Linked DNA regions of Tribolium castaneum. The protein of the gene in region 1 purifies or fractionates together with the protein of each later gene. This does not show direct contact. Links are inferred from orthologs where the notes say so. Each region holds a gene or a part of one and is shown in the gene's direction. Other genes may lie near its edges.

Evidence for each region.
Region 2: the proteins of GPN-loop GTPase 2 (region 1) and Polr2J purify together in Homo sapiens (affinity purification with mass spectrometry; 3 studies listed by BioGRID and IntAct, counting the BioPlex papers as one, with this or other methods). This does not show direct contact. The link is inferred for Tribolium castaneum from reciprocal best matches to the Homo sapiens genes GPN2 and POLR2J.

What each region holds. Positions count from the first base shown.
Region 1 is NC_087394.1:30,157,163-30,161,270, forward strand, and holds GPN-loop GTPase 2, read left to right. Parts: upstream 1-1,486; 5' UTR 1,487-1,984; coding exon 1,985-2,536; intron 2,537-2,587; coding exon 2,588-2,824; intron 2,825-2,877; coding exon 2,878-2,988; 3' UTR 2,989-3,467; downstream 3,468-4,108. Other genes in the region: uncharacterized protein LOC664179, read right to left, coding at 108-165. UniProt on the Homo sapiens protein: Small GTPase required for proper localization of RNA polymerase II and III (RNAPII and RNAPIII). May act at an RNAP assembly step prior to nuclear import.
Region 2 is NC_087395.1:21,131,226-21,133,940, forward strand, and holds Polr2J (DNA-directed RNA polymerase II subunit RPB11), read left to right. Parts: upstream 1-1,142; 5' UTR 1,143-1,385; coding exon 1,386-1,438; intron 1,439-1,493; coding exon 1,494-1,583; intron 1,584-1,633; coding exon 1,634-1,844; 3' UTR 1,845-1,889; downstream 1,890-2,715. Other genes in the region: mitogen-activated protein kinase 1, read right to left, coding at 717-844; uncharacterized protein CLIP-190, read right to left, coding at 2,539-2,585, 2,631-2,715. UniProt on the Homo sapiens protein: Core component of RNA polymerase II (Pol II), a DNA-dependent RNA polymerase which synthesizes mRNA precursors and many functional non-coding RNAs using the four ribonucleoside triphosphates as substrates.

The sequences.
Region 1 (4,108 bases):
GGAGCTAAGTTACATAACTGATGTCCTTTCGAAAAAATGAAAAAAATCGTAAATTTTCACGAAATCGGGGATAGTGCTATTTTTTCGGGAACAATCAATACACTTACATTTAACTACAATTCCAAGTATAAGGGCAGCACAAATGATTCCGGCACTTTGAAACATTTTCTTTGATCTTGTTGTCCCAACTCATACAAAAAACGCACATTAACTAATTGCACTGATTTGAAAAGTGCGGTATTGACGTCTCCCTATCTGTTCGACATTTAGTTGTACTAGCAGGAAGACGACATGACGTCACTGATTCTCCCCTCTACGCAAAGACGTCATCAAGCGTCGAATCGATTGGATTCACTTTGCAGCTTTTTCGAAATAGAGCGCTTTCAGATGGTTTTACTAAATAAAACTGTCTTGCAACAAGAGAAAATGGGACTGGAAATGGCACTCGTTTGAATAATTATGTAACCTGTATTTAAACCACTGAACCAGAAACTCGGAAGCGTCGCTTCTTGTTTTTTAGCCTTCACCTGTGTGGATGAGGTTTACAAATGTGTGGCTTTGAATTTCTTTATGCAGCAAAAAGAGTTTAAAAAACGAGTACGAGCGAAGCTTTGACTAGCTTTTCTTTGAGCTTTTATTACAGAATGATGCAAAAAGTACTGCCAGCTAATATTTATACCTAATTTACACCATTTTAATTTGTATCCCCTCTATTTGAATTAATTACCACATTAGAAAAAACAAATTAACAATTGCCTCAGAAAAAATATAATTTTTTAAAGATAAAAGTTTCCCGAAAAATGTTAGTCACCAAAAATGATACTGTGAAAACTCCAGGAGAATCCAGTGAGGCAGAGAGTATAGAATAGTTCGAACATAAAGAATCAATTATCGTGAGGTTTCATCAAAGATATTTTTTAATATGTATTAAAAAAGTTTTTTTTTCAATAAAATAATATACGCATTTTCATCAGCATTATATAAAGTTCGAGGGCTATCTTTATGCAACGAACGTATGTGAGTTACGTACCAAAACACCCGAGAATTTTAAGCGTGTTCGCATAAGTGTTATTCAAAATTTTTTTCGTTAGAACATTTTAATTTAAAAGACGTTGCTATGGGAAGCGTGTTTTAAAATAGTGAAAACACGTTGCTATCGGAAACGTGTTTTATAATCTAGGATTCAGATATTAAAAAGAAGGCTTAAAAGGTTACCAAAAAAATTAATTTTTAAGGTTTTTTTTTAATTGTATTTATTTATGAATTGTATAAAAACCATTTTAGATGATTCATTAAATAACACTAGTACTGTCTTAACAACAGTTTCAATTGGCCACATCCATAACAGATCACACGCATCGGTTTACAATTTTTGGAATTTTATGATTCTAATAAAAAAAAATATAATTAATTTTAGACCAGCCCCTGTACACAAAAAATTGAGTAAATAAAGTCCTGCAACCAAGAATACACCAATGTACAGTCCCTGACAAAAGTCGCGAACACTGTCAAACTACCACAACCTCACTTTTCGAACTAATTTTAGTGAACCAGCATAATTTCGTAATTTGTAATTATGTGTAAGTGACTATGGAAGTGTCCTCACTCATAAATTCATTGTCCCTAACCGACAAATCAAATATTTTCAACTTCGCTGCAAAAATTAACGAAGTACCCACCGAATTTGCAATTGGTACTTTCACGAATCAGAATCTCTTCGTGATCACACAATTCGGCAAATTGTACAGTTTGTACTCAGTCTCAGTGGACCAGACTGAAAACGGAGTGTGTGCCTCCGAACCTGTCTTTTCAGTTCATCAGTTATTTGGTAAAGAAAATATCTACGCAGAAGCTGCCGCCAGATTCATAACTAAAGAACTCAATATCAGGAAACAACTACTCATTTTCCTGAACTTGAAGGAGTATTCAAGGGACACAGTCCTCGGTATTGTTGAAGCTATTAAGAACTACTCCCAGGATAAAGATGTCTGCGGCAAAGAGAACAAAAGTTGCTGAGAATCACTTTGGCCAGGTTGTAATTGGGCCCCCGGGTTCTGGCAAAACCACGTATTGCGGCAAGGTTTACGATTTTTATAAGGACAAGTTGAACAGGAAAGTGGAAGTTGTGAACTTAGACCCAGCTAATGAAAATATGAATTATAATCCTGCCATTGATGTTATGAAGCTGGTGACTGTTGAAGACGTAATGGACACTTTGAAGCTAGGGCCCAACGGGGCCCTTATGTACTGTATGGAGTACTTGGAGGAAAATTTTGATTGGCTGTTGAAGCAGTTGATTGAAATTAAAAACAGCTACTTAATTTTTGATATGCCAGGACAAGTGGAGCTCTATACACACCATAATTCTATCAAGAATATTTTTGGGAAATTGGAGAAAATGGGCTATCATTTGTGCGCTGTCCATATGGTGGATTCGCACTACTGTTCAGACCCTTCAAAATTTATTTCAACCCTTTTATTGAGTCTTTCCACAATGATGCAAATTGCCCTACCACATGTTAATGTTTTAACAAAGGTAATAAACGAAAACATTTGTATAATTTGTGGACAATAAATTTCGTTCTAGGCTGATTTATTGAAAAAGAATGCGGATAAGTTAGATTTCAATATTGATTTTTATACTGATGTTCTAAACCTTGATTATCTACTAGACTTATTGGATGATGCACCACTTACAAGTAAATACAAAAAACTCAACAAGGCTTTGGTTGATTTAATTCAGGACTACAGTTTGGTTTGTTTTGTTCCATTAGATGTTAAGTCTGAGAGGAGTTTATTAAATTTGAAAAGCGCTATTGATAAGGTAATATATTATTTCAACCAATTTTAGTATTTTACTCATAAAAAATTATTTAGGCCAATGGCTACATTTACGGCAGCGGGGAGGAAAGAACTATTCAAGCCTTACTGTCATGTGCAGTTGGATCAAGAACCGAAAGTGAAAGATATGACGCTGATTTCTTTTAGTGTTTAATTTGTTTCACAAAATAAAAAAATTACTGCATTTTGTTTTTATTACTCCTAAATTTAAAGTAAACCTACCACTACTTTGCTGGAGGTTTGGCCTTCTGTTTTTCCAACTGGGCCCTAAAAAATTATTCGTAGCTCTTGTCCACAAACATCTAATTTTTTACCTCAATTGTTTGTTAAAGTCGTCTTCCACGTTATCATCCTCCCAGTTATCTTCCCAGACACTAATATCTTGCTCATCTTTGTCCTTCCCGGTCCAATCTGAAAGCAAGAGAAACAATTCTGCAAATCACTTTGTAACCTCAAATTTACCCTCAACCGGAAATTCCTCAAACTCATCGTCCTCCTCAAGAACACCAAGATCTAACTTAGGTTTCTCGGTCATGTTTAGATTTTGTTTTATCGATATAATTACAAAATTTGAACGATATGATCGTAAAAAGTTGAAACGTTATTTTCAGAAACTTTTCTAGAAACGACAATTCGATTTGCTTACATTACAGGAAACTGTATTTTTTTTTACATAATGCTGCAACCTGTGGTGGAAGGGCCAAACTTTTACAAATCTTACAGAATTTTCCGATTAAACATTTTTTATTTTTAACTAGATCGTGCAAAGAATTAAATTAGGGTATAATTTGATTATAAATTACAAAATAATTACCAATATTGTAAAAGTAGTATTGCTTTTATCGTGCAAAAACTTTTCTAAAAATGACAATTCGATTTGCTTATATTACAGGAAACTGTAATTTTTTACATGATGCTGCAATTTGTGGACGAGGAACCCAACTCTTACAAGTTTTACAGAATTTTCAGATTAATATTTTTTATTTTTAAAGATCTTGCAAAGAATTAAATTAGGATATGATTTCATTATAAATTAAAAAACTCACCAATATTTTGTACGTAGTATTGCTTTTATTGTGCAGAAACTTTTCTAGAAATGACAATTCGATTTACTTATATTACAGGAAACTGTAATTTTTTTTATATAGTGCTGCAACCTGTGGACGAGGAACTAAACTCTTACAAGTTTTACAGAATTTTTTAGATTGACATTTTTAATTTTTAATTGGATCGTGCAAAGAATTAAATTAGGATATAATTCTATCAT
Region 2 (2,715 bases), on another chromosome or scaffold:
TACACACTGTATTTAATAAGGTACCCAACAATTTTTTTAAAAATTTGTAAGCGTAGATAACTTCAATGTTTTTTAAATGTAGGATCTATAATAAGTATAATATATAGTAGTAATAATACAATATTAATTATTAATAAAAAAAGTTAGTTGATATACCAAATAAGTGCTACTGTCAACAATTAATGAATAAATTATTTCATTTTAGCATAATATGCAAAAACAATAAAACTAAAAAACAGAAAATAAGAAAAAAGTCACAAAATAATAATCATACCAATTTATTCTAACAATTAGGCTAAAATTACCGAAAAGTAGTCGGTGTTGTCTTCTAAAAATAAAATAATTTGACGTTTTTAAATGTTTTGTTAGTTAAAAATAGCAAATTGTTTCATGTATGAAACTCGGAGCCAATGAATCAATTTCGGAAAAGCCCGAAATCAGCCAAAAACTTTAAATAAATCACTTGTCTCCAGGCTACCGTCCTAAAACATCGATTTCTTCCAAACTAATGACAGGAAGTTATGTATACATAACCTCAACCTCTAATGAAAAAACCATTTGACAAGCCACCGCCAACTTTATGAACATTTTTCTTTTTGTACAAAACCGGTAAAACTAAAAAATGATCGAGTTACTGAAACTGGAACAATATCCGCAATTTTAGGGCGTGTAAGTTAGAAAACCACAGCGACTAATGATAAGGAAAATTTACTCACACGACCATTCCGTATGCGCCTTCTCCAATGTATGATAAGTTCGTGTAACGGGGGCCCACCTCAAATACCTGACCCCTTACAACTTCTGCATTCGGATTTACACTTGATACACCTGTGGCTTCCGCCATTTTTAGCGAAACCTCCTAAACTACCTTCCTCGATGACAAACTCACGCACACTGAAGCCACAGACTGAAGCAGAGAGGAGCCGATCCCTAATATTTATCAGCTGATATCAGATCGTTATTATTCACACTTATTACCAATTTTTTCAAACTCCAACTAATTGTAGACTCGTTAGTAACGTTTTCACGTGGATTTTTCCAAATTTGAGGCTTTTTTGGTTTTTAAAACGAATTTATTCCCAGAAAAGATAGCCAAATAACGCGCCCCCTGGTGGACCAACTGAACACTAGTCGGGAAGCACCCTAATTTTATTTTCCATTATCGAACCCACAATAGGGCTACAATTTTCATTTTGGCGGCATTTGTAATACCCTATTAGACGTTCGATAAGTTTTTAAACAGAAAAATAAAAAATTCCGATATTTGGTTTTTGACAGATGACAGGACAGGTGACATAACCCACAAAAAAGTGACGCACTAATAAAAAGTTGTTAAAAATTAATAAGCGGTTTAAAAAGCTCAGTGAACAGTATTTCCATTCAGGATGAATGCGCCACCAACCTTCGAGTCATTTTTGCTCTATGATGGAGAGAAAAAGTGAGTGGGCAAATTCTCTGGACCAAAAATTTATTTTTACAAATTGTGTTTTTAGGATAATAAGGGAACAAGACACAAAAGTGCCAAACGCGGCTATTTTTACCATAAACAAAGAAGACCACACGTTGGGAAACATGATCAGAAAGTGTGTAACAAAACATTAAGGTTTAGGTTGAATTATTTTTGATTTTTTAGCCAATTGTTAAAAGATCCGAACGTTTTGTTTGCTGGATACAAGGTGCCTCATCCACTTGAGCATAAATTTGTGTTGAGAATTCAAACAACATCTGATTATTCGCCTCAAGAAGCTTTGATGAATTCTATCACAGATTTGATTTCAGAGTTGTCTTTGTTTGAAGAACGTTTTAAGGAAGCGATCAAGGAAAAGAAAGAAGGTTTAGATTAAGTATTTGAATTTATTCACTAATAATAAAGTTTATGCTTCGATAAATCAGTCTTTGTTATGTACCCAAAAATATGTCTTGCGTCCCAGCGTCAAAAGTTTAAAATGACTTGTTTATTTATGATGGTTAATAATTCGTTTTCAATTTTTATTCAAAATAAGCTATTTAAGATTTATTAAAAGGTGGCAAAGTCTGTGCTTTAAAGCACTTACGTAAATACAGTAAAACCTCAGTGATCCGTGTACACAGGCTGTCCGTTTTGCGAGCTCCACCATGAGTAATAAAATTTTATCGGTCTATTTAAAAATTAGCCTGTATATCGAAAGTGAGTTTTCAATTAAAAAAAAAACCTCAAAAATACTTTAAAACTTGGATGATTTTTGGCTAAATTTTGAAAATAATTCTGACTGCACCGTTATGTCATTTAGGTATTTAAGAACAATTTCATTTTTGTTTACCTTTCCAGAAATTTTTTCTGACTTAATTATAATTATAGTGGTTGAAGAAAGAAACGAGCATGTAACTGTTATTAACAGAAAAATATATTTTTATTTAATTCACAATCCTTTATTTACAATTAACCTCATCAACGGATAACTTACAAAACAACTAATTTGTGTCAAATAAATATTAACTAGAAATTTTTACAAGATATTTATTAATTTGCTAAATAAATTATTAATAACAGAATATGTTCTAAAATGTCTGATCCTCCTGGCAATCTTCTGTGGCATGACCAAAGGCTGAAACAGTAATTAAACCAAATGTTAGAAAGTAAAAATTCTTACCTTCGCATATTTCGCAATAAGGCCTTTCCGGCACATGTTTATGCTCCCCCCTCTGTCCTCCATTAGCCGGCGCTAAGTCAGTATT